Linked DNA regions of Rattus norvegicus. The protein of the gene in region 7 interacts with the protein of the main gene of each other region in a pairwise test. Links are inferred from orthologs where the notes say so. Each region holds a gene or a part of one and is shown on either strand. Other genes may lie near its edges. The genes, in order: Bcl2l1, Use1, Tmem115, Tm4sf4, Adtrp, Alg3 and Creb3.

Region 1 (4,096 bases), on a different chromosome or scaffold from region 7:
GCAGTGAGGTACAAAGTCCTGGGGCACAGCAAGGGCTCCCCAAACAAGCCAACCATGGTGAAAATGAACTTAGGGGCACAGCACAAACACAATTGGCTCAGACCACCTTCTCTAAAATCAGACAATATTCAGCCAGTCAAGCCAGTGGGGCTCCTGCCTGACCAAATGGTCTGAATAGCATGCATGCGAGCACACAGGAGCCTGGGGTTATCAGCTCTGCAGTTCCTCCAGGTATTATATTCCTCCCCCCAGCCAAGGTGACCCATTACGTGAGAGTGAGCAGAACACAGGGAGAACTTGCTACTCTCCTAGGTTTTAAGCCAAGTAAACACACAGGCTGTTTTTCTTTGCCGAGAAATTGGAACAAAACTATGAAACTGCGGGGCCACAAGGGTAGCCAGAATGAAAAATACAGGTTCCTTAAAAACAGGGTCATCAATATTCCCAAAGTTAACCCCTGGTATTAAAGTGAAGCCAGGAATGTCTCCTGAATAATCGATATCTTCAACAACCATGCCAGGAGACCAAAAAGGGCAGTTAGGGATCTCCACAGAGGAGAGACACACAAGGGGCGGACACACAAGGGGCGTGGTTCTTACCCAGCCGCCGTTCTCCTGGATCCAAGGCTCTAGGTGGTCATTCAGGTAGGTGGCCATCCAACTTGCAATCCGACTCACCAATACCTGCATCTCCTTGTCTACGCTTTCCACGCACAGTGCCCCGCCAAAGGAGAAGAAGGCCACAATGCGACCCCAGTTTACCCCATCCCGAAAGAGTTCATTCACTACCTGTTCAAAGCTCTGATATGCTGTCCCTGGGGTTATATGAAGCTGGGATGTTAGATCACTGAATGCTCTCCGGTACCGCAGTTCAAACTCATCGCCAGCCTCTCTCAGCGCTTGCTTCACTGCTGCCATGGGGATTACCTCCCGCGCATCCAAACTGCTGCTGTGGCCAGTGGCTCCATTCACCGCGGGGCTATCCGCCAGGTGCCAGGATGGGTTGCCATTGATGGCACTGGGGGTCTCCCTTTCTGGTTCAGTTTCTTCTGGGGCTTCAGTCCTGTTCTCTTCGACATCGCTAAACTGACTCCAGCTGTATCCTTTCTGGGAGAGCTTGTAGGAGAGAAAGTCAACCACCAGCTCCCGGTTGCTCTGAGACATTTTTATAATAGAGATGGGCTCAACCAGTCCATTGTCCAAAACACCTGCTCACTCACTGGGTCTGCTCTGTGTTTAGCGATTCTCTTCCAGGATCCAAAGCCAAGATAGGGTTCTGAAGAGAGAGAAAGAGCTTCAGGAGAAAATTTTAATATGCATGTCATTTACCTTACAAAATCCCCATTCCTCCCCCAGTTACCAGAATTGGTTTCTTTGTGGCTCTTATGAAGGTCTGAGTCCAGGTTCTAAGAGACTTCAATGAAGTCAAATTGAAAGGACCAGCAAGCTTTGAATTGTTTCATCAGCCTCTTTTTACTACAACCACCCACCCCCTTTTCTCCGAAATGCCTTTCTCCAAAAGTCACCCCCATTGGCACATCCCCACCACCACCACCTACATTCAAATCTATCTCCGGCGACAGAGAGCAGGTGCAGCCCCCGGAAGGTCTTTTGTATCATAGGTCGGGAGGAGGTGGTGGCTGGGTCGCCGGTAACTCAGCAAAAAACCCCGGTCCCGGCCGGGATCATGCGACCTGGTAGGCAGGCCAGAGGAATTGCGAAGCTTAGGAACCTGCCCCCTCGCTTGCTTCCTCCATCGCCCAGATCGAGGGCGGCCTCTCTGCTCCGCAGCCTCCAGCCACCCGGGAGCCCAACCCCCTCGCTCTAGCACGCCCCTTGGCTCTCGCCTCCTACTGGGAGCCAGGAGAACTCTCCCGGAGGTATGGGTTTAGTGTAATTTCCCCCCACCCCTCCTTTCTTTCTTTCTATTTAAGTACCAGCCCTGGATGAGGCTTCCGAAACCCTAAAGGGACTTCTCAGTGAATCTCAAGGTTTCGCGCAGGGACGCGGGGAGGGGGAGACGGCCTCGGATCTGCGATCTGATTTCGGAAAGACCACTCCCGGGCCTTTCCAAGAGGAGTAGGCTGGAGACCCCCCACAAACACCGCTAGTTGTCTTTGAATTCCCCAAAGGCTCTGGACATAGCACTGGGGGACTGCCAGGTCCTCCATTCCGCGCCCGGACACAATGGCCGCCGGCACCCCGCACAAAGACGGGGTGAGAGGGAGGCGCTGAGCCCCGCCACTGGCCAGGAAGAAGGGTTGAGGCTCCCACAGCGGAGACCTCGTTTTCTTGAGACCCGACCCAAGGCGGCCTCCTGGAGCCCCCTGCAGGGCTCCAGGACCGGAGGCCGCTACGCGTTGGAGCCCCGGGTGGGTGGGCTGAGGCCTCGCTTACTGCTCGCGCTCCCCTAGGCCGGGTACCCGCCGAGCCACCGCCCCGTTGCTAGGCAACCGCCCTCCCTCAGGGGCGCCCCCTAGACCTCTCTGGAAGGAGGGGTCTCGCCCCCGCGGCCCGCCCCAGCTTAGCCAATCCGCGGGTCGAGTCGGCACGGAAGCGGGACGGCCAAGGCTCCCATTGGGCGAAGCGCCTGTCAGGCACAGGGGAGGCGGCGCCCTCACCTGAGAGCCCAGCGAGCCGTGGGGGGCCACATCCCCCCTTCATCGGCCCAGTGGCTTCCAGATACGAGGGCGTTTTGCGGCTGGGAAGTACGCCGCGGACTTGGGTTGGCCTACCTGGCTGACTGCTCGTGCCGAATCTCCCGGAGAAGCCGGCCTCAGTTTCCCCTGAAGAGACCGGGGGAACTTGCAAGCGCAGTCACTTCCGGTGCCGCGGCAGCGCGCGCGAGCCCGAGACGCAAAAGGAGTGCGCGCCAGGAGGGACTGGCGTTGAGACGTGGGAGAGCAGCGCCCCCTGGCGAGCGATTTGAGGAAGCGCAGGCGCATGGAACGCTAATGGTTCACATTCCATCAATCTAGTTCCTTCATCCATCTATCCGTTTGTATACTACAGAAAAAGTGCTTTTTCCTGGGTGTCCGACATCGGACAGGTTTCCCAACTTGTGTATTTCCCCCCCTCACTTTACAAATAGACAGCAGCATTGACCTTTCATTGACTGTGTATCGATATTACTTGAAAAGTCTGAAGACTAGAAAGCCTTTGGATTGTTGAAGACGGTTATGAACGAGGCAAGGCAAGGTCTCTGTTTTTGTTTTTTGTTTTTCTTTTCCTTTTTTCGGAGCTGGGGACCGAACCCAGGCCTTGCGCTTGCTAGGCAAGCGCTCTACCACTGAGCTAAATCCCCAACCCCAAGGTCTCTGTTTTTATGAAGACTTATACCTTAGGGGTGGAGGCAATATCCAACTAGGAAAATACGCAAGGTAAACTCTAAGGGGAGAAAATCCTGACATTGTGATAATCATGGTGAAACGAGATTTGCTTTAGAGTGAATGAGTGAATGATCCTTTTAAAAATGCAAACCCCGGGGCTGGGGATTTAGCTCAGTGGTAGAGCGCTTACCTAGGAAGCGCAAGGCCCTGGGTTCGGTCCCCAGCTCCGAAAAAAAGAACCAAAAAAAAAAAAAAATGCAAACCCCGACTCTGGCTGGCCAGTGCAGTAGAAAGACATTTATTTACACCATCTCGAACTATGTAGCATATGTTTGTTTGTGAGCCCAGCCTTTAACAACTGAGCCACCTCTTCTGTCTCGCTATTATACACAGTTTTTGTGTTGCTGGGGATCAAACCCAGAGCTTTGTGCATGGTAGTCAGGCTTTCTACCGGATAACTCTAGCAGTAACTCAGTTTTTCAAAAGTTTATTTTATTTTGGGGTATGTGCACGTGAGTGTGGGTGTGTATGGGCCACCATGTTTATCTGGAGGTCTGAGGACAACTTTTAGGAGTAAATCGTGTTCAGGAGTGGAACTCCCATCCTCAGCTGGTGAGGCAAGTTCATTCTTCTTATACGGGGTCTAGTTATGTAGCTGTTTAACTTGGGCTGCCCTTGACCTTGAACTCATAGCAGCAGTTCAGCTTCTGTGGACTGAGAGCTACTGGGATCTCAGCCTCCTGGTGTGCAGATGTCCACAACGTACCA
Region 2 (4,300 bases), on a different chromosome or scaffold from region 7:
CAGAAGAGTTCTTACTGTTCTCTCAGAGGACACAAGGTTTCTACTGCTGTGAAAAGACATCATGACCATGGTGACCTTTATGAAGGAAAACATTTTACTTGGGGCTGGTACACCGTTCACAGGAGCTGGTTCACAGGAGTTTAGTCCATCATCGTCCATGACGGGAAGGATGGTGGCACTCAGGCAGAAGTAGCTGAGGATTCCACATCTGAATCAGCAGGCAGCAGAAAAAGGACTGTATGCCAGTAAGCCTAGTTTAAGCTTTTGAGATCTCAGAGCACACCCCGCCCCATGGTGCACTTCCTCTGTAAACCACTGCCTATGGGGCTCATTCTGATTCAAACCACTAGCAACAAGGTTCAACGACCAGCACCACAAACCTTAGAGTCACCATAACTCCAGTACTTGGGGTCCAGTATCACTTTTGTTTTTTAAGGTTTAAATAGTTCTTTAGAGACATGATTTCTGTGTAGCCCTGGCTGTCTTAGAACTCTGTAGACCAAACTGGCCTTGAACTCAAAGATACACCTGCATCCGCCCGAGTGCTAGGACTAAAGCCCCACCCCGACCCTGCCCAGTTAAAATGTATATGTTTGTGTGTCTGTGTGTTGGTGTGTGCATACGAAAGCATGGGAAAAGTCAGAGGTGTCAAATCCCTGGAATCACGGGAGGTTAGCATCTTTTGTAAAACTGCTCAGGACTGAGACAAGCTTGTTTTACATTTCTAATGCTCAGAAGTCACATGAGAGTGAAGAAAGAGGTGCTCAGTGGCTGAAAGCACATACTGCTCTTGCAGAGAACCTAGTTATTAGCTCACAACCACAGTAAATTCAGCTCCAGGGAATCCTAGCTTGTTTACTAATTCACATGGCATTCCCTGAATTTCTCAAGGGCTACATTCTTCAGGAAGTACAATATTCTCCATCTTCCGGGCCTCAACCCTGTAACAGAGTACATTTAACCTAAGATGAAGCAGAGTTGCTGGTAGCTAAGGAAGACGGGGGCCATGGACCATAATTTATGACAGAAGAGTGGAAACAGCCAGGTCAGAGTTCGGGATGCTGGCAGCCAGGACTGGAAACTAGCAAGTTGGCCAGATGAAAACGTCCGACTGGCACCTCATCAAGCAGGGTCGGGGGAGGCCCCATGTCAGGGCTCCCGCCTCAGAGGTAGAAAACATGCGCACTGAGCGCGGAGGCGAGGTGAACAAGCGGAATGTAATGGTCGGCGAGCAAAGATGAGGAATGGCTTTTCCGGTCCTGCCGTCCAGTTCTTGCGGGACATGATTGGTTGTTCAGGGTCTGGATAGGCTACAGAAACTCTGCTTCAAAAAATGAAAGAAGGCCAGATATCAAGCCACAATTTTAAAAAGAGGCTCTCTAGGGACGAAAACGACTTATCTTTGAATAAACTGCGGCTTGAAATAAAACTCCGCCCCATGCGTAGCAGGGCGGACCTCGGAGGGGGAAAAAAAAAAACCCACGCAGGCACTTCCGCCCCTTTCTAAGATGGCGCAGGCGGAAGGGGCCTGTCACCGTCCGCTGGCGACGTCGCGGCTGGAGTTGAACCTGGTGCGGCTGCTTTGTCGCTGTGAGTCGATGGCGGCCGAAAAACGAGAACCGGACGAGTGGCGTCTGGAGAAGGTGAGGGAATCCCACGCCGCCGCAGAGTCCTGGAGCCCTAAGGGCGGGTGATCTAATCCACAGGCTACTGTCTCCGCCCCTTCTGGTCGGCGGCGACACGCCCCTCGTGCGTAGACCCCTGACGTCCCGGTTTCTCTCCCTACGGCCTCACGCACAGGCCACGCCCTCTCGATTCTACGTCTTCGCCTTTGCCCCCTCCCCTCTCTGGCTCCTCCTCTCCCGGTCCCACCCCTCTCCCTAGTTTGCTCCTGCCTTGGGGTACTGGCCTGGCTGACGTTGTACCTTCCTTCCCAGTATGTGGGTGCCCTGGAAGACATGCTGCAGGCCCTGAAAGTCCAAGCAAGGTGAGTGTGGGGGACCGAGACGCCTCCTCCCACGCTGCCACAGCAGCAGGTTGACTTTGTCCTGCTGCTTTTCAGTAAACCGGCCTCGGAAGTGATCAGTGAGTACTCCCGCAAAGTGGACTTTCTGAAGGGCATGCTGCAGGCTGAGAAGTTGGTGAGCCTGCCCTCCCATCCCTCAGGCGGGCCTCACTCAGTTTCCCACATCTCCTAGGACCAGGACACACACACCCATACTCCCCCAGTAACTTATTTTCCCCTTCCCGTGTCTCCTCAGACCTCCTCCTCTGAAAAGGCTCTAGCTAACCAGTTCCTGGCTCCTGGCCGCGTGCCCACCACAGCCAAGGAGCGGGTGCCTGCCACCAAGACTGTACATTTGCAGTCTAGAGCACGTTACACCAGTGAGATGCGGAGTGAGCTGTTGGGCACGGTACGATTCCCTCCCTCGTCCCTGGATAGCTAAGAGAGTAGTTTTCAGAGGGTTAGACTGGAATAGTACCACAAACCCTAGAGGGCCACAAACGATGAGGCTCCCCTAGGAAACCACTGTGCTCAAGAAGAGTGGTTGGCTGGGTGGTGATAGTGCATGCTTTGAACCCAGCACTCAAGAGGCAGAGGCAGGCAGTGAGTTTGTGAGTTTGAAGCCAGCCTGCTCTACAGAATGAGTTCCAGTAATCAGGGCTACACAGAGAGACCTTATCTTACAAAAAAAAAAAGAATGGGCCATGTCTGGTTAAACCCCAGAGTAGCAGAGTAGGCCCCACAGCTTACAAGAGTCTGCCCAAAGCACAGAGAGAAAGGGAGAGAGGGAGGGAGGGAGGGAAGGAGGGAGGGAGGGAGGGAGGGAGGGAGGGAGGGAGAGAGAGAGAGAGAGAGAGAGAGAGAGAGAGAGATTGATTTAGAAAAGACATCAAAATATGCATGGCCTCATTCCTCTTCTTCCTTTAGGAGTCCTCTGGAGGTGAGACATGCAGGACACGACTGTCCCTGCCACCCCGCAGCCCTCATGCCTGCCTGGTTCCCTTGTTCTTTCCCAGCCCAGGAAGAGTCCCCCAGGGTCATGTCTGAGTTATGCCTAAGGGGAAGCTGAGAAAGAGAGGGTGGTCCCCAGCACAGTGCTAGGCCACTGAGAGGGACCTGGGGCCAGGGTACACAGTTCTGGAGCGTGGGCAGCTAGCAGCTTGCACGCAGAGCAGCCTTCTGCTTAGCCGGGTGGCACAGCTCAAGGCCGGGAGTTTGGAAACAAGAAAGCAGCCATCTTCTTTGTTCTTGGCCTCTTTTGCTTCCAGAGCTGGAGGCAGACATGAGGAAGCGAGTGTGAGTATTCGGCCCCTGGCGTGACAGGGAAGGGAAGTGAGTGGCTGAAGCTGGGGCCCCTGAGTTGCTCTAAGGACCAGCTGCCTGCTGGGAGTCCTTTCTGGGGCTGCGGTTCCCAGACTGTGAAAGAGCAGGGGAAACTGAGTCCCCAGTAGAACTGAGGGTGGTGCCATGGCCCTGGGATCCTTGGGAAGTGCCATGTGGATGTCTATATCTCCCTGTCACTACTGGGGATCCACAAATGTGGGGTCAGCAGTGTGAAGGGGCCTAGACCTGCAGATGAGAAGCAGTCAGCGTCCGAGCTAGACCTCGTCCTCCAGAGGCACCAGGGCCTCCAGGAAAAGCTGGCTGAGGAGATGCTAGGCTTGGCCCGCAGCCTGAAGACCAACACACTGGCTGCCCAGAGTGTCATCAAGAAGGACAACCAGGTGTGGTGACATTGCAGCCTCTGCCTCAGGGCACTAAGAAAACTCTGCAAAAAAGGGGCATTGTGACTGGTGTTTTGCTGGTTGAATAGGAGTTTGATAAAGCCCAGAGGGAGGGGGTTGGCTGAGTATACTTGGCCGAGGGCACAACATGGGCCAGAAGCACAGGCTACTCAGAAGTCACACTTGGTCTCAGTCCTGTTGACACAGTCCCTTTTCCCACAGACCCTGTCACATTCGCTCAAGATGGCAGACCAGAACCTGGAGAAGCTGAAGCTGGAGTCAGAGCGGCTGGAGCAGCACGCACAGAAGTCGGTGAACTGGCTGCTGTGGGCCATGCTCATCGTCGTGTGCTTCGTGTTCATCAGCATGATCCTGTTCATACGCATCATGCCCAGACTGAAATAAAACAACACCCGCCCGCCAACCCGCACGCCTTCAGTGCCAGCGCGGGGTGTGTGTGAGAGAGAGAGTGTGCAAGTGAGTGTGTGCGAGTGCGACTGTATATGTGTGTGTGAATGTGTGAGTGTGTGTGAGTGTACGAGTGTGTGTGTGAGTGAGTGTGAGAGTGACT
Region 3 (3,931 bases), on a different chromosome or scaffold from region 7:
AAAATAGCTTTTAAATAAATCTCAAACACCCTGCTGATAACCACTGTAAGCGTAAAATTGAGCCTAGGCCAACCTGGCACTTACAGAGAGACTTATAAATAATCTTTTTTCTTTAATGTTCATTGGTGTTTTGCCTGCATGTGTGTAAGGGTGTCAGAAACCCTAGACCTGGAGTTACAACTATGAGCTGCCCTGTGGTTGCTGGGAATCGAACCCGGATCCTCTAGAAGAGCCGTCAGTGCTCTTAACCGCTAAACCATCTCTCCAGCTCAAGGGAGATTTCTCTGGCAAGTGGAATCAAGTGGGAGAAGAGTCACTGAAGCAGCACAGCCTTGCCCCTTATTCCCCCTGAGATGGAAAACCTAAGTTCATGTAGCAAGTACAGTTGGCTGGAATCAGGGCAATGTGAACACCCAACACAACATGGCAAGTCGTTTACATAGATAGCTGCCTTCTTTGATCCTTAAAACTATAGTAAGAGCCTGCCATCGCCATCATTTTTAAAGATTCATTTATTTATTATATATAAGTGCACACCAGAAGAGGGCATCAGATCTCATTACAGATGGTTATGAACCACCATGTGGTTGCGGGATTTGAACTCAGGACCTCTGGAAGAGCAGTCAGTGCTCTTAACCACTGAGCCATCTCTCCAGTCCCCATCATTTTTAAGGTTCGTGAAATTGCACTTCAAAAATGTTCGGGAACTTGATCAATATCACATTAACTACAAATGATGGAACAAGGGTTCTGGCCTGCCTTGGGCTCCATTTGCCAGACGACAGGATTTCTGGCTAGTTCACGCGCATTGATACAACACATCAGAACCGTTCACATTCTTTTGTACCCGCTTACAAAAACATTGCTGTACCTGTACAAGTCACAAATAGAGCCAATCTCCTCCTCCAAAGAGTGCAGCAAGTGTGCGGCCCAAGGCGGCGCTGCCTCTTGAACCCGGCCACTCAATGCCTTGCTTTCCGAGATCAGGAATACTGGTCTCCACTTCCCTAACTTCTAAGAACTAGAGGAATAAGCACTGAAAACTACAACTCCCAAGTGCCCTAGCCTCTACATTCTACGAGACCTGTTCCGTGCACGGCTTCTGGGACTTGTGGTTCTATGCCAAAACCGGTCGGCTAGGTCTCAAGGACTCCGTATCCCAGCATGCCGAGGAGCCGGAAGGCAAGAGCTCAGAGGGCGTACAGTCGCGGCCGCCGGCGGGGGCGCGCAGGCGCGGCGCCCCTGTTTGTCCGCCCCGGAGAGGGGAGGAGGTACCGTCAAGTCAAAACCTTAGCCCAGCCGGAGCTAAACGGGCTTGACTTGAACTGGAACAAGGCATCAGTCCCGGCAGATCGCAGAGTCTCAGAGTGGATGGAGGAAGCCCAGCCTTGAGATCAACGCTAGCCTGGCCGCTGGGCCGACGGAACCGGCAGACAGGCGTGCCCAAGCCACCCAGGGCCTAACGTCAGGTCCCCGGCAAGAAGGCTTTCTCCTCGCTTTGGAACTACAGCCGGATCAGACCGGAACCAGAGCCGTCACACGGAACAGAAGCCAGTGAAGTAGCCGGGCCCGGGCCTCCCGTCGGGGCCGAACTGGGACGAGGCCCCGGGGAGGCCCCTAGGCCACCTTCCTCACCTTCCCTCAAGCCAACGCCCGCCAGGAAGATGCAACGCGCCCTGCCCGGTGCCCGCCAGCATCTGGGGGCCATCCTGGCCAGCGCCAGCGTGGTAGTGAAGGCACTGTGCGCTGTGGTACTATTTCTCTATCTGCTTTCCTTCGCTGTGGACACGGGCTGCCTGGCCGTCACCCCAGGCTACCTTTTTCCACCCAACTTCTGGATCTGGACCCTGGCCACCCATGGGCTCATGGAACAGCACGTGTGGGACGTGGCCATTAGTCTGGCCACAGTAGTTGTGGCCGGACGATTACTGGAGCCCCTCTGGGGAGCCTTGGAGCTGCTCATCTTCTTCTCGGTGGTGAATGTGTCAGTGGGGCTTCTGGGGGCCTTCGCCTACCTCCTCACCTACATGGCTTCCTTCAACTTGGTCTACCTGTTCACTATTCGTATCCACGGCGCCCTGGGCTTCTTAGGTGGTGTCCTGGTAGCGCTCAAGCAAACTATGGGAGACTGTGTGGTTCTGCGAGTGCCCCAGGTCCGCGTCAGCGTAGTTCCCATGCTATTGCTGGCGTTGCTGCTACTCCTCCGGTTGGCCACACTGCTCCAGAGCCCGGCATTGGCTTCCTACGGCTTTGGGCTGCTATCAAGTTGGGTGTATCTTCGCTTCTATCAGCGGCACAGCCGAGGCCGAGGGGACATGGCTGATCATTTTGCTTTTGCCACCTTCTTCCCTGAGATCCTGCAACCGGTAGTGGGACTGCTAGCGAACTTGGTGCATGGCCTCCTGGTGAAGGTGAAGATTTGTCAGAAGACAGTGAAGCGCTACGATGTCGGAGCACCATCGTCCATCACTATCAGCCTCCCAGGCACAGACCCTCAAGATGCGGAGCGGAGAAGGTACTAGGAACTTTTCCAAATTCTTGACTAGCTAGACTATTGGTGTGGCCACATAACCAGGCATTGAGGTGTTTGCACTACGTAGGCTGGAGAGCCACGGACAGGTGTTAGGGGTGGCTTCGACAGGTGTTAGGGGTGGCTTCCGAAAAAAGGACTCAGGTTTTGGCCTTGAGGGAACTCAGTATGTAGGTTTTTGGGCTCTAGTGTGTGTTTCTCATAACTTGGGCCACTTAACCTGTCTGCAGAACACCCAGTCACCTTTGGTCTTGCCTCAGGATTTCCAGATTCTAAGCACTGGTTCTGTGAGAGACAGAAACTGTTGGCCCTTTTCTCCTGTGATAGGAGATGGGGAAGGATGTCTTTGTCCTTAAAGTCTTTCCCATCTTTTTTTTTTTTTTTTTTTTTAGTTCTTTTTTTTTTCGGAGCTGGGGACCGAACCCAGGGCCTTGCGCTTCCTAGGCAAGCGCTCTACCACTGAGCTAAATCCCCAACCCGTCTTTCCCATCTTAATGCAGGACGGTTGGGGTATTACTAAATTCACCCCCGTTTCAGACGTGTCACCAAATAGAGGGAACAGGCCGTATGACCCACTGCAGGAGCCTACTGACCACACGGGGCAGGTCAGAGGCCTTTGTGTTACCTACCAGGCAGCATCTGTAGTTTTACTACATTACTCGCTGGGCACTTTGGCCAAAACAGGAGAAAGCTTTTTGAATTCAGGCCTTACTTTCTGAGACCTGTGGACTCTTTACAGTGTTCCCAGCTCCGGGGAGATCCACAGTTCTGTGTCCAGTGTTACTCCTGAGACTGTCCAGGAAGTTTCTCAGCAGCCTTATTCCTGAGCATTTGTCAAAGGTCCCTGCTTCTGCTCACCTGTGAAAGGGGTTCCTGACCTCAGTGGAAGAGCTCTCTGCTTCTTCTCCACTGAGACTGTAGAGCTGAGTGTGGCCCCTTCCTTGAAGGGGTTACCAGTTGGTGGGTGTGGGAACACAGCCAGGGCATGCTGCAGGCCTGATTCTGGGCCCACGACTTGAGTGTTGGGGGAATGTCCTGGATACGACTCCATCTCGACCTTGCTTAATAGGGGCAATGGGCTGGGGGGCTGAATTTTTGAGGGACAAAGCTGCCCTTGAAGCTGTTCAGATGGGACTGGGCCAGAGCTTGCCCTTGTCCCAGAGAGAAATCTTGCATTGTGACAGTTGGTTGGTCATTCAGAAAACCTCTATCCTCGATCAGGAAAAGGAAGAGTGGGAATTGGCCCAAGACGTGGGTTTCCGGCCCAGTCTGAAGGTTGTTAGCTCACATGGGGTGGCTAATACTCTGCCATACAATTTGTCGTCCAACTGCATGCCACTCTCAGACCTAAAGGACTACAAGGAGAAAAGAGCATTCCACAGAGGTCTCTGACCCTGTGAC
Region 4 (3,933 bases), on a different chromosome or scaffold from region 7:
TCATCCATATTCCTTAATTGGTATGTTTTCAAATTGGTATGTCTTCCAAACTGACAAATTATAAATGCTCTGACGGGAAAGAGTTATATAGCACTTCCTTTCCTTTATAGTCAAAATGAAAATAATATCTAGTATTTAGAACATTTAACACATAGTTATCTCAAATGAACTGTCGCTACTTCTGACACTCTTCGCAAATGATCATTCTGAATGCTGAAAGGACTATTTTCAGTATCCGTGATGGCTTTTTAGAAGGTGAATATTCTCTGAATGATGTGACGTCACACGAGAAACTGCAGTGTATCTATAATATACTGAGCACAGCAGCCCTTCATGTGTGCTTGCTAGATACCTTCTTTCTGTACTAAATCAACAAATGTTTATGAGAAGGAGATGTCAAGAATTTCAGAATGGGTAGACAGACTTTCAAGAATTTAAAGTGGGCTTGGGAGTCTCCTTGACGGGAACAGGAATCCTGGGAAGCTGGAGAGGAGAATCCTTTATTCTTTATCAAACCTAGGATCTACCACCATCATATTTCTGACTCATCTCATACCCAAATGCTTGATAGTTTTTAAGCTAACTGTTTTGCTAATTTGTATCACAATTTGAAAAAAGTTGAAATTGTTAGCAAACACAAAGATGGTGTTATTAAATTTTAGTTGTCAGGTGCCCCTTGAGTTTCTAGAGCTTTGGGTTGTCCGTCCTTTGTTGCAAAGGAAGTTTGAAGGTTTAGAAACAGCAAAGGCTTATCCCCATCAAAATAAGGATTTCTTTCCTTCATAAAATAAAAACAACTGGGGGATAAGTAAAAGAAAACATTCTTTGTTGTTTGGATACGTGTATCTTTGTACCAGGGTTTGGCCCATATCTAGGGAATTCTGATCCAGTCCAACTTGCTTATCTTACAGTTGGTGTCTTGCCCAGCTGCAGAAATGGGACCTGACTCACATTCCAGCATTCCTTCTGCGCCCCTGGAAGCATTAATACCTCCCTAGTCTCCACTTCACCAACAAAAAGGTGGATGGCCACAAGAAAAAAGGAGAAGAGGCTGAAATCCTGAGGCTGATTCTGAATGGTAATAGGAAATACAGTTTCCATAAAGAGTGCCCTTTCTTTTACTTGCTCTGGTCTCCTTCAGTGAAGAGGCAATTGAGGGCTGGAAGAAGGATATGACTTGGTGACGTTCTCATGTCTTTTTAGTTAGCCAGAGAGGGAAACCTGTGGCTCTATCTTTGCCCTCCTTCTGGGGCCTCACTCTGGTTTTAAGGCTCTGGCATCTCCGTGTACTTGTAAAACTTAAATGTATCTTCAGCTCTATGAAGGCTGTAGAATTTAATGTTTTATTCTTATTATTCTGATCAGTGGGAATTAGAGCTTAATCATATACTAGATGACCCAGGAGTCTTGGCTGGGGCTGATTATTTGTTTCGCACACCCGTGCTGCCCAGCACAAACAGCGAACCCCAGCTATTCTGCCAGCTGATCCCATAACGACTCACCGCAAATCGCTTCCCACAGCTCTCATTACCACAGCATCCGCAGCAGTCATTGTTCTGCAGGCCCAAGAACACCAGCGCAGGGAAGATCATCTGCCAGCAAGAGAAGCACTTAGAGGGTCTGGCATGAAGGGAAACCCATATTTTTCTAGCTAGTGAAGACCTCAGGTTTCAGGGGCTTAAGGGGGCAGGCAAGACCTAACAGCTGGTATGGCTCATGGGTAGACAGGGGGTTTTGAGTATGGGGGTTCCATTTGGACAACTTCTGTGAGGAGATTTTAAGAGCTGATATGCTGAGTTTTCATTTACAGGGTGCGTTTAGGGCAAGGATAAATTTATACTCAGGGTATAGAAAGTGAGTCCCTCTAGTACGAGCTAGAGGTCCCACCCATATTGGAAACAAGGCGATGAAGAAGCAGTGATTCCTGAATGAGGGCTAACCTAGAGCTTCTGCATCTCTTCATTCTAAGTCAATCCATTTGTATAAAGCACCGTGTTCTGTTTTTAATTCTTATTGCCACGACTGACTGAAGTAAAGCAATCAGGTAGCTGTTAGCTTGGTCCTGTGGGCTCAAATGTCCTAGGGTGACTCCAGCCCAGGCTTAGGGGTGAACCACTTAGTAAACCAAGCTGTCCTCAGCCACGAATAGAAAGGGGAAGTATATTAAGGCACTACTTTTCATCACACAAAAGGTTATTAGCTTCAGAATGGCATCCCATGCTCTAAGGACTGAATGAGAAGCGGATGAAAGTGGGGGAATTCTCCTTTGTGGGACTAAGGTCTTTCTACTCACCAAGACTCCACTTCCCAGTATTCCTCCGAAGTACCAGACCTCATCCGAAAGGTGGCTGTTGTCATCCACCACTTTTCCTCCAGGAAAAAACAACAGGATATTTGCCAGGACGGCAAACACAGCCAAGGGAATGAGGGTGCCCCCCAGGCACCTGGCACAGCCCCCAGTACACATGCTGGGGTGGCACAGTAAAGCACAGAGATCAAAGGCTCCTCACCACCAGCTTCACAGGACTCCTCAGGGATTTTGGCAGCGCGTTGCAGTGGCTGTACCTGGTTCAGTAAGAAATTTGGGACCAAAATGTCAGAGCGTTTTGAACCGTGGAGTCACTTCTGAACTATAGCAGGCCCTCAGTGGCAATGGGCATTTATATCCCTGACCCAATGTCTTTTTTTTTTGCACCCCATAAATGAGATTACGTTCTGCGCGATCGTTCAGTTGTTTTGCCATGGAGACCAATAACCTCTGTTAATAATCCACCAGCACAGACAAGATGTTCGAGTTGCTGCAATTGAAGAGAAGGCTGGGATAGGCAGTGTTCAGCACTGCCCCTTTAATTTCATAACGTCTCTGCCCAAATAAAGAAGTACTCCCTAGGTATTACATCACTCTCATAATCCACTAATATCCTGATTAACGTTATGCCTCCCAAACACTAAGTGATCTGCTCAGCTCTTCCTTGGTCTTGTTCACGGAAAGCCTGAGACACCGGCATATCCAGATGGGCTTGTTTTCCTTAATAGAAAAATAATTTCATGGCTTTATTGTATACTGCTAAACTCAGGTCTGGGATTTTTAAAGGACAAAATCAGAACAGCTATTTACTTTACTGCCTGACTGCTGTATTTCTTTACTTGTTTACTCAATTAGGCAATTAAATACCACGTTCTTCCCACCACATCATAGAATCAGCAAAACCGATTTTTCTAATTGGGTTGTTTGGTTACTTCCTACAGAAATAGAAACCTGTGTGTACTGGAGCAAGAGGAGAGCCCTGGGAGAAGCTAGATGCTGATGGAGGCAGAGAGGATGAGACTGGAGGCAGCTAGAAATCAGGAGGAAGGAAAATACACCCGCACTGGAGGCTTGGCCGCCTGTTCAGGAGCACAGTTGCGTTATTGGCTTGCTTTAGGTCTCTTAGGATGTCTCAGGCACACCTACACCAGCTCCACATGATGCACTGACTTATCCGGGTATTGTGTGATGAATCAGCCAGAGCAGTATGGGATGGGGGTGGGGACAGATCCTGTCTAGCTCCTTACTGACAGTCTAGAGGTCAAAACTGATGACAGTAAGTAAGGTATTTAGGGGCTCGAATTGTTGCTAAAAACAAAACAACAGAACCCAATTGACTCATAACTGTCATGGAGCACTTGCTCCTTGACAGAGATGACCAAGGAAACAGTGGACTATGCTTTGCCAAGTCTCTGGGACCACAGTCCAGGGGAAATGGATGTGGGAAGGATTATGGGGAGGCAGACACTGAGGTTCCTCCTGGAGAGTTTACAAAATGTGCCTTGGTTGTCCTGAATACCCACTGAGAGAACTCGGGGTCAGTGTGAGACAAGAAAACAAAAGGAAGTAGTCACTGAATGCCTGCAAAATCTCAAGTACAAATGAGTATTTGTGTGTGTGTGTGT
Region 5 (3,500 bases), on a different chromosome or scaffold from region 7:
AGGCAGCAAAGGGCTGAGTATCTGGAACTGAAGTATCTGGAACTGCAAGAGTATCTGGAACTGAAACTAGGGCTGAGAGCTATGTGAGATGGGGAGAAGGCTGGAGAAGAAGCAACTTCTGATATCCGTGTGCAAATGACTTCATACTCAGAACTCTACAGCTCGTGGGCTTTGAGCCAAAGGCACCAACAGTTAGGGCTAAACATTCTTCAGGGAACCTCTGATAGCATTTAGAACTGTGACTCTTTCCCTCCTTCCCACACCTACCCTCTGCCCTTGGGAGGCCTCCTCCTCCTAGAGGAACCTTTGGACTCTCACCCAGTCTGTGGGTCTACCCCAGAATCTGCCTCTGTGACCTTGAATAAGCCTTGCCTCATCCTGTGCCTCACCTGAGGTAACTTCCTGGCATTTGTTCCCTGCTCACAGTTCCCTCAGCAATTTCATTCCACCTGAGAGGACTGACTGACTACCTAGGTCTTCTCCCAGCCTCGTCTCTCTGTAACCACTTGATAGTTGTATTTCCAAGAGGAGGTTTTACTGGACAGGTAGGCTTCAGTCTCGGATACCTAGGATCAGCATTCCCCAGGGGTATGGCTAGGGAAGAAGGCTCAGCTGGTCAAGGGCCTGAGCACAAACACCAGAACCAAACTTCCATCTCCACCATCTACATGTAAGGCTAGTCATGGCGGCATGACCTTGAAATCCCAGCACAGAGGAGCTGAAGACAGACAGGTCCCTAGGAATTGCTTGCTCACCAGCCTAGCTGAGGCAGAGAGTCCCAGACCCCAGTGAAGAACCTATTTCGAAACCCAAGATAGATGTTGTCTCCTGACCAAGGTTGATCCCTGGCTAACCCTACCACCGCATACCCAAAAGAAAACAGAGCAATCTTGGGAAGATTTATAAACCCTAATACCTGAGCTGTGTCCCCTTAGGCCCATTAAAGGGGTAAAAACAGCACAGTGTTTTTGTTTTTTTGTTTGGTTGTTTTTTTGTTTTTGTTGTAATTTATTCTCCTAGCCATATAGAATTGTTTCTCCTCAATTCTGCTCAGGAAATCTGATGTTTCTTAATTCCGGCTCAAGAACCAGAAGCCTTGGGTTATAAACTTGCAAGTTTATTAATCTCTCTTTAGCCCATTTTTCACATCTTTAAATGGAGCTGAGAGATTAATCCTGACACATCACTAGGACAGTTGGGAAACACAAGCGAGTCTTGAGTCTGGCATAAAACAAGCCAGGACCAAAAGTCAACTGGAGTCAACTGTTGGAGTTGTGAATCCCTGGTAAAGACCATGAAGGATGGATGTCTAATCCAGAGGGTTCTGCCCACCCAAGGACCCCATAGAGTGCTTGTTAAAAAATCACCGCTTACACCTCCTTCTCAGGGGCTGTGATTCCAAAGTCTGTGGGCAGAGAAGAGTCCCAGCTTTCTGGGAAGCTCCAGGCAGTGCACTTTCTGCTGGTCTGAGAACTCAGCTGCCAATCATGGATCATTCGTTTCTCCCCATCCCCCTCCTGCTCATTCCTCAGCCTAGGGAGTGTCCTGAAGTTAACTTTAGATCCTTGCTCAAGTCTAAACTTCAGACACTGTTCTCCAACAGCCAGCTCAGATCAATTATTAACCCAGCTCCCCGGGTCCCATAAATCTCCCTTCTCATACTCTAGGCTAGAATCCAACAGCCCCTCACATGCCAAGGCAGAGCCTCTAAGAACTTATATGACTTCTAAGGCAAACATACTTCGAATAAACCCAATCTTTGTATAGCCAGCACCCACCAGAGCTTAAATTAGCAGCCATAACATTACACAAAACACACAAGGCTTGATTTCTAGGCCCTGCTTACTATCCTGAATCCAAAGATCTGACAATTGACTCTAAAAATCAGAGTGTCTTGGTCACAAGTATGATGTTGCAAATAGAAAATTTCACACAATCTAACTTGATTTCATGCACGAATCATTATTAAGAGTATGGTACAAGGTTACCTTCAAGCTATTTTTAAGAGGCGAACATAAAATATGAATTAATTTTGTTTGCATGCATGAATTCTCTCTTCATTATGAGTCAATATTCTAAAATCTGGACAAAGAAATCCTCAGTCCAGAGTACTTCTAGTGCCAAGCATTTAGGATAAAAGGCTTCAATCTTGCTGACGTGAAAGGGGTTCTACTTCTCTCCTGCTTTGCTTCAAGCACCTCACAGAACTCAGCAGCTGCCACAACTCCTGCACTTGCTTCCTGGATCCCATGATTTAAATCCTTCCAATTATCAGATGGCTTCCCTACAGCCTTCGGGCAGCGCCCTGTAGGTAGGGGCTGTACTGGTTTCTCACTCAGAGTACGGTGTCATGATGTGCACTTTCTTCAAATGCCACAGAGCTCCATCCTGGTGTTCATGACCCTCATTATGACTTTCTCAGTGAGAGTTCAGTGCGTGTGTGTGTGTGTGTGTGTGTGTGTGTGTGTGTGTGTGTGTGGTGTATGTAAAAGAGAGAATATGTTCATGCATTCATGCGTTTATGTGCACATGTGTGGAGACCAGAAGCCAACTTTATTTCACGAGTTTCTTTCTTTCTTTTTTTTTTTTTTTGTGGAGGTGGGAGGGTGGGACACCTTTCTCTGCCCTCACCCCACAGTGCTGAGGTTACAGAGTTACAGACATGTGCTGCACCCCATCCTGCTTTTACGTGAATACTCGGGATCTGAACTCGGGTCCCCAGGTTGTAAAGTAGCCATTCCACTGACTGTTGTTTCTGCCACCCCCTAGGCTTTTTTACCTCCATTATCTTTCCCTAGAAGGGACTCCCGACCATGTCCCACTGTGCCTAGCCCTTCACCCTGAGCTGTATATTTGGTTCTTACCTCTGTGCAGCTACGTATCACAGCTCATTACTTTCTCTGTTTAAACTCTATTTTGTTTCCATTTTAGCCGAAGACCATTAGACTAAATACTGTACACACTATTATCTCCTAAATGAATTTCCTCAATCAGTTTTAGTGTGCAAGGGTCAAGGCCCAGTGAGCTGGAATCCCAGCCCTCAAATTGGCTCTGCACCCAAACAACCCGGCATCTCCTCCTCCTCAGGTCCACATTGCTCCCAGAGGGCTGCAGCCCTCCATCAGGGAAGGATGTATTAATTAAAGCCAATGAAAACACTCATTTATTGTAATGAATTTAGCTCTTGCAGGCCGTTTTCTTTGGGGTCGCCTGCCTGGATGATGTGCTAAAAAGAGTCATCGGAAGGAAAGACATCAAGTTCATCACCTACTTCAGAGATCTGCTTTTTACTACGCTGGCTTTTCCTTTATCCACAGTAAGCGCCCAAATGTTTGTCCAACACCATCATTTCATACAATGGATGGATGCTTCTCTTGGAGCAAGGTGGTCTGGAGACTGATTGCTATAACCAGAGCATCTACATTTCCACAGTTTCTGTCTCAGAACTGACTGCATTGGCTAGCATCATCAGGGAGTGGGGTAGTTAGCAAGTGAGGTTA
Region 6 (4,149 bases), on a different chromosome or scaffold from region 7:
GCTTGGGGAGGGCGCCACGGAAGCCGAACTGAGTAAGAAGAAGGAATAGCAATCCTGGGGCGAAAAGGAGCACGTTCATCTTCACCGAGACGGCCAGGCTGAAATGGACAGAGGACAGGAAAGGCGGAGGATCAGCTCCAGGACTGTGTGGCCCTCGGAACAACACCCACCTCCCAAGAATTTCTCCCCAGGCTATTAAGTGCCAGGATGTGGTCTCCATCCAGAACTGTTAGGGGAGCATAAGATGGCCTGAGAGGAGGCTGGGAAGAGGAATAATACCTGGTCCCTCTGTCCAGACTAACCGGACACGTACTGACTGACATACGAAACAGGAAGAAAGCAAGAGGAAAGAGGGCCTCTCTACAGATCCTGGACTTGTTCAGGGAGGCCCAGAGTGGTCTGCGGTGTCTAACCGCTCTCGATGGCTTTCCTTGCAGAACATCGGGGAGCTATGGACATGTGAGGGAGGGGTGGGGGGTAGGAAGAGGCTCTGACCTGAAACAGCAGCAGCCCCAGCTCCAGCGCTGCGCCAGGAAGAGGTTGACGCTGAGGAAGAGCAATGCCATAGCTACCGGGTCGTTGAAGAGCCGCAGCACAAAGATGGAGTGGACACGGTAAGAGGCACAGCACATGAAGAAAAAGACGAAGGGAGGCACCTAAAGGGTGGGCACCGAGATCAGCTCCCCACACCTGAGCTGTCCCCGCCACCCGTTTCAGGCAGGGCCAGCTGGTCCTGCAGCATCAACTCACCTTGGAGGTCTGGTGGTATATCAAGAAAACAAGCACCAAGGTGACAAGGTAGAGTACAGCAAAGATGTTCTGGGCCGTAGGGATGTCAGTGCCCCGGTCCGTAGCATAGTAAAGCCCCGTAAAGATGTACAGAAAACCAGCTGGGTAGCTGGAAGGCGAGAGGAAACATGAGCCGAGGTCAGGGTCATCCGCCTGGTACCCACCCGGCCCTTCACAATTTCTTCAGACTTCCTATCCTCACTCACACAAGAGGTCCGGTGTCACCCTGCAGCTGTGTGTAGTCATATGTGCCATTGATGAAACCCTCCACCTGGGCCATGTAGGCCTTCCAGTCAATCTCTGTGTCTGGAAGAAGATAACATGGTCTTGTTCCTTCTGAGTCCAGAACTGGTCTACCTCTAAACCCCATGCCTTCAGACCACCAAAGCCCAGAGTTCTACCTTATTCCCAGGTTTCTTCCATCACCATCCCTTATCTAACTGCACATAGGGCATTCTCTGGGTGAACCCATATACTCCGTGTGTGTCTGTGTACACACGCATGGGAAGTCCAGGAGTTGACACTGGTGTCTTCCTCCATCACTTATAACAGAGTCTAGCTAGTCAGTTTGCTTCAAGGATCCCTTGTCCTGTCTCTCTAATGCCGTGGTTACAAATGGACCACCAAGCCTGCCTGGCATTTATGTATAATACTAGGAATCTGAACTATGGGTCTCACACTTATATGGTAAATACCACCCACTAAGCTATCTCCTTAGGCCCATGAATACAGGGGTCTTAAACTCAATGTGTAGAATTGAATTTATGATCTTTCTTCCTACTGCAAATTTAGTCTCTTTGCTGTGTTCCTCAAGTATTGAGTAGTACTTCTCTCCTTTTCAGTTTGTGTGTCTGTCTGTCTCTCTTTCTCACTCTCTCTGTGGTTTCATGAGACAGGGCTTTTCTGTGTAGCCCTGGCTGTCTGGCTGTCCAGGAACTCAAGTGTATAGACCAGGCTGGCCTTAAACTCACAGAGATTTACCTGCTTCTGCCTCCCAAGTGCTGGAATTAAAGAAGTGTGCCACCACCACCCGGCTCCTTAGTTCTTAAAAGGAAATAGGCTTGCTGTCTTTGTCTTGTGTGTGTTCATATGCACATGTGTGGGCACACACATAAGTGAGTATGAATGCATGTGAGTATAAATGTGGAAGCTAGAGGTTAATTCTGATTATCTTTCTTGAATATTCCTCATTCTCATTTTAAAAACAGGGTCTTTATGAAGCCAGTTGTGGTGTCCATCTTTAATCTCAACAACACTCAGGAGCCAGAAGCAGGCAGATCTCTGTGAGCTTGAGGCCACTGTGGTCTACATAGCAAGTTCTAAGCCAATCAGGGATACTTAGAGAGACCCTGTTTTTGTTCTTTTTGTTTTTCAAACAAACTGATTCTGGAAGACACCAGTACCTAGTGGACTCAAATAGTCACAAAATGCCATTCTTTAAAAGGACTTCCAGGATCTAAGAATTAAAAGTATGGAAAATCAGATCTGGCGTGGGAAGTGACTGTCTAAGGGAACAGACAAGCAGCAGGAACAGCAATAGCACATTAATCCTGGCCGAAATTTACTGCTCGGCTGCTTATGCTTTCTTAGCAGGCTGAATGTTAAATGCAGGTGGTAATCTCTAAGGTCACCTCCCTCCCATATGGAAGAGAGCTTATGATCGCTGTTCTGGAAAGTGGGCTTGGTTGGGTAAAGGATATAGGTTTGAATGGTGAACGAAAGCTCTGTAATCTAGTTTGGCTCAGAGGTTTGGGTATCGCTCCCTCCCTCCGGTTTTCTCCCCTTCGGTGAACTCACATGCCACCCTGTGAATGACCCAGAAGGTGATGCCCACCTCTGCTAGGCAGAGGCAGGAGGCCACCATCAAGGTGTAGCGAGGCTCCCGCAGCAGTAGATAGCGTTCTTGCCAGGCCCGCTGTAGCCATTGTTTCCAGATTCCTGCCGGCTGGACGACAGAACCCGGCAGGCCGCGTTTCCGCAGCCCAGCAGCCATCTTGACAGTGCACCACTCTTGTGCTTCCACCACCCGGGAAAACCAACCCTAAGACACTAGGTTCCGGTCTCCGCTCTGGGCGTCCTCTCAAACGATCCGAGTAACCAGAATTCTTATTTACTGCATAGCAGTCTGCTAAATCGACTCAAGGCGCTGAAGTTTCTAGGTCAAAATGATTCACTGGATACATATTTAGTGCTTCTTATATATAGTGGTGAGAGATATTTCTAATGTGGATATGTGGACCTCAATAAGGGTAAGATAGCTAGTCCTTAGAATACATCTACACGATATTGTAATATAAATATACATATACTTCTCGGTGTATGTCCCGTCCAGAGCGCATAAACGCCACTATATCAGTGTTTGTCCAGAAAACAAAACAGTTCTGTTCTCTTCTCCAAGCCCAGCTTTCTACTCGGCCTATATCCAGAGTAATTGTGTTTACGCTAGAGCGGAAAGCTCCTTTCAGCATTCCTCCCGCCTTTCCGAAGTACCCGAAGGTGCGCCAAAAATCTTGGGAAGAAGGGGATCTTTAATTAATCACGCCTCTTAATTGAAAGGGTTATTGAGAACCAAACACGAGAGGACGCCAGTGATGAGCCTGGTCACATCTGGTGACCAGATCTGGTCTGCCACGAGGAAATGTGGTCGAGTTGAGATGGGCAGTACGTTAATAAGACGACAAGTAATTCAGCTTTCCAGCCGGACGATTTTCAAAAAAGAGCTCAGAAAATGACGGAAGTTCCACGTGTTTGTGTGGAGCAGCTGCAAGGGTTGCGGGGGGGGGGGGGGGGGCGGAGACACAGGCTCCGCCTCCCATTTCTTACCTCGGTGATTGGGCTCCTAAGCTCCGCCCTGGCAGCCCGGCAGCCGGGAGCATGGCCTCTCCCCGGACTCCTGTGTCCCCTCCGGAGTTACCCGAAAGGAACTTACAGTACCGCCAAGTCCAATACTGGGACCAGCGCTACAAAGATGCGGCCGACTCCGGACCCTACGAGTGGTTCGGGGACTTCGCTTCCTTCCGTGCCCTCCTAGAGCCGGAGCTGTGTCCTGAGGACCGTATCCTCGTGCTAGGTGGGTAGTGTCCCAGCCACGGGTCGCTGGCCAGACCATATCCGCTTTCTTCCCTTCTGCTTTCTCTTATACAGGACTCCCCAGTTTGGAGCCAAGACCCAGTACCTTCAGAATCCGTCTGTATTTAGCCAGGGCAAACAGAAATAAGAGATCGTCAGGACTCTGGAAAAAAAAAAAAAAAAACAGTCCTTTGGTGTCTCAGCGAGGGGCATTACCCTGCCCCAGACACTGGAGACAGCCTAAGACACCGGAGAGTACATCTCTGTGGACCTACTTCAAGTCCCAACATT
Region 7 (4,136 bases):
GGTGTGTTGGATGGCAGCTAACCTTCCCAATGAAATTCTCTCCACAGCTTTTCTGCCAATAGGCATTCACCTTCTGTGTGGACATCTCCACAGGACACGTGTCCAGCACTTAAAAGCCAGAGTTTTCTTATTTTTATGTGTATAGGTGTTTTGCCTGCATGTCTGTATAATGTATATGTATAATGTGTGTGCCTGGTGCCCACACAGGCTAGAGGACAATGACAGATCTCCTGGGACTGAAGTTACAGATAATTGTGAGCTGCCATGTGGGTGCTGGGACTGGAACTCACGCCCCACGGAAGAGCAGAAAGTGCTCTAAACCACTAAGCCATCTTTACAGCTGCCAATTAATTTAAAAAGTTCCTCCTAAGCTAGGTGTGGTTGTACATGCCTGTAATATCGGCACTTGGGAGGAAGAGGAAGGAGGTCAGGATTTCAAGACCATCCTTGGTTAGGGTAGTTTTCAGGACAGACTGAGTGAACTACAGAAGACTATGTCTCAGAACTAACAACTACCACCATCCTTATCCTAAACCCACATCAATCTTCTAGTTTCCACCCATTGGATTTTCCTAGGCTCTCTAGAATGATATAGAACATCTTTATCTTAAGTACTTTAAACTCTTTTTTTTTCAGAAATTAAAACTGAATAAAGTTAACTCTCATAGTCTCTGATAATGCTTGTCAAACCTGGACAGTAGCCAGGAGTGATGTCATACACTTGTAATCTGGTCCTAGGAAGCTAGAAGCAGGAGAACCAGGAATTCAAAGGCATTCTTTACCTACGACACAGTGTGAGGCCAGCCCAGCCTGGGCTTACAAGACCCTGCCTTACAAACCAGGGCTGGAGGGCGTAGCCAGTGGTAGAGCACTTGGTGAGTATTCCAGAGGTGCTATATTCCAATCCCAGGGGTAGGAGAATTATGGTATGCTTTGGCCAGTGTAAAGGAGGACAAGACAGTTACTGTCCTAGGGACGGAGCCACTATTGATAATTCCAAAACTCCATTTTCTTTCCTATTAACTACTATACTGCTCATTCATCTCGTAATGGCAGGAGAGGGATAGGAGAGGGTTTATCATGTGGGCCAGGCTTGCTTAAACTCAACATGAAGCGAAGTCTGGCCTTTAACTCCTGATCCACCTGTCCCAAATAAGTCAGTACATACATAACAAAAGAAGTAAGACAATAAAAGGGGCACAAAAACTAGATGCAGTATGCTTTCACTTGGGAAGTGACCTTGAGCGTGGGAGGACCTTCCTGCCTCTGCCTCTAGGGTTATGGCAGTGTGAGCCCCTCAAGTCCAGCTTTGTTACAACTTTGTTACAGCTTTGTAACAACTATTGTTGTTAGACTGCTTCAGCCTCTCCAGCATATCTACTCTACCACTGAGCAAAAGGCGAAGTCCCAAGATAGCAACGAAATCTGTCAAGGCCATCATTTGAAGGCCCTTTCAAGGCTCTGTTCTAAAGTTACTCTACATTTAAAAAATTATCTTGGGGCTGGGGATTTAGCTCAGTGGTAGAGTGCTTACCTAGGAAGCGCAAGGCCCTGGGTTCGGTCCCCAGCTCCGAAAAAAAGAACAAAAAAAAAAAATTATCTTTTGTACATGGGGGTCTCTCCTTCCATCACGTGGGTCCTGGGAGTTAAGCAAGGCCTTTTCCTACAAAGCCATACACTGATAATTTTGAAAGGAACGCCAAAATGTATATCAGCGCCACAAGACCAGGATCTACCCTGGTATCTGCTCGTCCCAGGTTCCCACTATCAGCTTCCATTCTGACCTCAGTCCTTTTGTAAGTGATCGATATGAAATAAACTGAGTTTGCCTACTTGGGTTATACAATCCCCCTCCAGCTTTTGCTCTACTACCAGAAGCCTTACCTTAGTGAGAGGAAGTGTTGAGGGCAGAGTGAGCCCCTCCTTCTCCAAAAGCCTTTTCTCTTCCTCCGTCAGTATCAGTGTAGAAAGTTCCTAAGGTTGGAGGAAGAGAGCAGAGTTGCATGGTGATGTCAGAGCAGTATGGGGGATTCTTGGCCGCTGCAAAGTGAGGTAATCCTGAAACACCAAGCCCAGTACCTGCTCTGCTGCTGTCTCCTCCACACGCAATGGATTCATGCGGAACCCCTCCTTTTCAAAGCTCCCAGGATCTGCAAAAGCGAAAGTAGGGCTAGCAAGTTCAGTGAGCTCTCTCTTTCCCCATAACTTAACATTTCACACTCACCTAGATCTATGGAGACGTGCTCCTGTGGAAGGGAATAGTTGTGATCATGGAGAATAGAAGAACTAGAAGAGTTGAGAACATCCGGCGATGACGAGGGACTGAGCAGAGAGCTCAGTAAATCCTCTACCTCCCAGTCGCTCAATTCTTGCACGGAGTTCTAACAAAATCAAAGGCCTTGTTTTATCTCTGTACCTTGGGTCTCAGGGACATCGCTAGCTTCCCCACTCAGAACACCCACCCACCTCGGAAGGCGACAGCTCCAAGTCCAGGGGAGTCTCTATGTCCTGCTCAGTCGCAGCCCACAAATCTCCACTTTCCTCTAGCAGGAAGCCCAGCAGGTCCTGATCACCAGGATCCAAAGCTAGCAGGTCCTGATCACCAGGATCCAAAGCTAGCAGGTCCTGACCACCAGGATCCATTTGGAATATTTATGGATAGAAACTCCTCTGCGCAGATCCAATCTCCGAACCTTAGGCACGACCCCTCAGTCTGTCAAGTCGCATCGACTTAACCTTAGTCACTCCCGGACCAGGGCCTAGCTGTTACTCTATATGCCACACCCGCCTCTCAGCTTCTATTCCCCTCAGCGTCCAACATAACGGAAGTGATGCACATAGTCCCGTGGAATCCTGGGACTTGGAGTTCCCTCCAACTCGGAAGTGGCTTGTGTAGTGCGCCACGTCCCAGGGGCTATGCAAATTATGGGGATGTCCCTTCAGCTTCCCACGCCCCAGGGCGGGGATTCTGAGGATCCGGATCCGCCTTCGCCGCGAGCTATTAAAAAAACCCTAAGAGTCTAAAAGGGAACTCCCGTTTAGTTCGGGCGTTCTCTCCAGTGCTCTGCACCCTCGCTTCCTGCCGGGGAGGGGCGGCCAGGCTTCGCGGGAGCCCGAGCATCGAGAGCTGCGGCCAGAGCAGCTTCCTGCAGTCTCTGCGACCATAGAGCGGACCGCCGGCGGGTGGGGGACGTTTCCAGGACGGAAGTGGACGAGAGTGTGTCGAAGGGAGGGCGAGGCCGGAGCCCCAAAGCGACCGGGAGAACGAGCGGGTAGCGGGCCCAGGGCGGGGCGCAGAGCTGGGCAGCGCAGGTAGGCCGGACGGGCTGGGCTGAGGTTCTAGGTGGGGCTGCGGGATCAGGCCGGCCCGGGAAGCGGCGGGCGGGGCCCCCAATCCTCTTGCATATCCTGTGTCCGGTTGGGGAGGTCAGGGTACAGTACGTTTCAGTTTAGGTTTGAAATTAAGCCAGCCGTGTTGCGAGAGACAGGCCCTTTTCGCGGGAGTAGACAGTTCTCTGTCTCGGATAGTTTTTGGGACGGGTAGAAATGGGGTGGCAGTGAGGCATTGGGCGGGGATGGGCTTTGGTGTTAGCCGATAGTGAGTATGTGGTTAGGAAAACTTTGGGTGAGTTTGAGTTAGGTGCGTCGGGTTTAGGAAGCAAGGATCCCATTAGAAGTTAAGAAGCTGGACTACATTTTAAACATGCATGAGTCAAGTCTCTTTCGTGTTTGTGACATTTAAACTGAGGTCATTATTTTCTGGAATGACCAGCATAAGTCAGTGTACAGGATCGGGTTAAGGATCAACAACAGGAATTGGCTTAGAAGCTCGTTTCAGGGATTAAAGGCCATTGTCATGGTCAGTATTAAGAATAAACAGTGAGAAGGTGAATTAAGAATCAAGGTAGAAATGAGCTTTAGGACTGGGGAGAGGGGCAGTATTTAGGGTTAAAGTTAGGGGATTTGGGCCTAAAAATAAAAGCCAGATTAGTATGGTTGTGTGCTAGGAAAGGGGTAAGTGTCAAAATATAGGGAATTAGGATACAAAATAAAGTCAGGATTAATGTTAGGAATTAGTGATAGCATCAGAGTCAAGGCTGCAGCTACAGCTGAACAGGTAAAATGTAAGAAGTTGG

The links.
Region 1: the proteins of Creb3 (region 7) and Bcl2l1 interact in a two-hybrid assay, tested with the Homo sapiens proteins (2 studies listed by BioGRID and IntAct). The two-hybrid records come from large-scale screens. The link is inferred for Rattus norvegicus from reciprocal best matches to the Homo sapiens genes CREB3 and BCL2L1.
Region 2: the proteins of Creb3 (region 7) and Use1 interact in a two-hybrid assay, tested with the Homo sapiens proteins (3 studies listed by BioGRID and IntAct). The link is inferred for Rattus norvegicus from reciprocal best matches to the Homo sapiens genes CREB3 and USE1.
Region 3: the proteins of Creb3 (region 7) and Tmem115 interact in a two-hybrid assay, tested with the Homo sapiens proteins (2 studies listed by BioGRID and IntAct). The two-hybrid records come from large-scale screens. The link is inferred for Rattus norvegicus from reciprocal best matches to the Homo sapiens genes CREB3 and TMEM115.
Region 4: the proteins of Creb3 (region 7) and Tm4sf4 interact in a two-hybrid assay, tested with the Homo sapiens proteins (2 studies listed by BioGRID and IntAct). The two-hybrid records come from large-scale screens. The link is inferred for Rattus norvegicus from reciprocal best matches to the Homo sapiens genes CREB3 and TM4SF4.
Region 5: the proteins of Creb3 (region 7) and Adtrp interact in a two-hybrid assay, tested with the Homo sapiens proteins (2 studies listed by BioGRID and IntAct). The two-hybrid records come from large-scale screens. The link is inferred for Rattus norvegicus from reciprocal best matches to the Homo sapiens genes CREB3 and ADTRP.
Region 6: the proteins of Creb3 (region 7) and Alg3 interact in binary tests that used the Homo sapiens proteins (3 or more experiments, as listed by UniProt). The link is inferred for Rattus norvegicus from reciprocal best matches to the Homo sapiens genes CREB3 and ALG3.

What each region holds. Positions count from the first base shown.
Region 1 is NC_086021.1:161,761,976-161,766,071, forward strand, and holds the start of Bcl2l1 (bcl-2-like protein 1), read right to left. Parts: upstream 2,801-4,096; 5' UTR 2,735-2,800; exon of another isoform or gene 1,360-2,734; intron 1,294-1,359; exon of another isoform or gene 1,276-1,293; 5' UTR 1,164-1,275; coding exon 600-1,163; coding exon of another isoform or gene 309-599; exon of another isoform or gene 1-308. UniProt on the Homo sapiens protein: Potent inhibitor of cell death. Inhibits activation of caspases. Appears to regulate cell death by blocking the voltage-dependent anion channel (VDAC) by binding to it and preventing the release of the caspase activator, CYC1, from the mitochondrial membrane.
Region 2 is NC_086034.1:18,071,664-18,075,963, forward strand, and holds Use1 (vesicle transport protein USE1), read left to right. Parts: upstream 1-1,500; 5' UTR 1,501-1,508; coding exon 1,509-1,643; intron 1,644-1,937; coding exon 1,938-1,987; intron 1,988-2,062; coding exon 2,063-2,141; intron 2,142-2,261; coding exon 2,262-2,414; intron 2,415-2,932; coding exon 2,933-2,945; intron 2,946-3,273; coding exon 3,274-3,301; intron 3,302-3,554; coding exon of another isoform or gene 3,555-3,557; coding exon 3,558-3,729; intron 3,730-3,951; coding exon 3,952-4,134; 3' UTR 4,135-4,153; downstream 4,154-4,300.
Region 3 is NC_086026.1:117,084,975-117,088,905, forward strand, and holds the start of Tmem115 (transmembrane protein 115), read left to right. Parts: upstream 1-1,131; 5' UTR 1,132-1,664; coding exon 1,665-2,515; intron 2,516-3,931. UniProt on the Homo sapiens protein: May play a role in retrograde transport of proteins from the Golgi to the endoplasmic reticulum. May indirectly play a role in protein glycosylation in the Golgi.
Region 4 is NC_086020.1:143,754,928-143,758,860, reverse strand, and holds the start of Tm4sf4 (transmembrane 4 L6 family member 4), read right to left. Parts: upstream 2,801-3,933; 5' UTR 2,468-2,800; coding exon 2,294-2,467; intron 1,593-2,293; coding exon 1,503-1,592; intron 1-1,502. UniProt on the Homo sapiens protein: Regulates the adhesive and proliferative status of intestinal epithelial cells. Can mediate density-dependent cell proliferation.
Region 5 is NC_086035.1:23,145,809-23,149,308, forward strand, and holds part of Adtrp (androgen-dependent TFPI-regulating protein), read left to right. Parts: intron 1-3,181; coding exon 3,182-3,316; intron 3,317-3,500. UniProt on the Homo sapiens protein: Hydrolyzes bioactive fatty-acid esters of hydroxy-fatty acids (FAHFAs), but not other major classes of lipids. Show a preference for FAHFAs with branching distal from the carboxylate head group of the lipids.
Region 6 is NC_086029.1:93,803,544-93,807,692, reverse strand, and holds the start of Alg3 (dol-P-Man:Man(5)GlcNAc(2)-PP-Dol alpha-1,3-mannosyltransferase), read right to left. Parts: upstream 2,801-4,149; 5' UTR 2,783-2,800; coding exon 2,587-2,782; intron 1,096-2,586; coding exon 996-1,095; intron 899-995; coding exon 751-898; intron 657-750; coding exon 496-656; intron 99-495; coding exon 1-98. Other genes in the region: Eef1akmt4 (EEF1A lysine methyltransferase 4), read left to right, coding at 3,664-3,859. UniProt on the Homo sapiens protein: Dol-P-Man:Man(5)GlcNAc(2)-PP-Dol alpha-1,3-mannosyltransferase that operates in the biosynthetic pathway of dolichol-linked oligosaccharides, the glycan precursors employed in protein asparagine (N)-glycosylation.
Region 7 is NC_086023.1:62,612,316-62,616,451, reverse strand, and holds the start of Creb3 (cyclic AMP-responsive element-binding protein 3), read right to left. Parts: upstream 2,801-4,136; 5' UTR 2,644-2,800; coding exon 2,467-2,643; intron 2,382-2,466; coding exon 2,225-2,381; intron 2,151-2,224; coding exon 2,080-2,150; intron 1,975-2,079; coding exon 1,885-1,974; intron 1-1,884. UniProt on the Homo sapiens protein: Endoplasmic reticulum (ER)-bound sequence-specific transcription factor that directly binds DNA and activates transcription. Plays a role in the unfolded protein response (UPR), promoting cell survival versus ER stress-induced apoptotic cell death.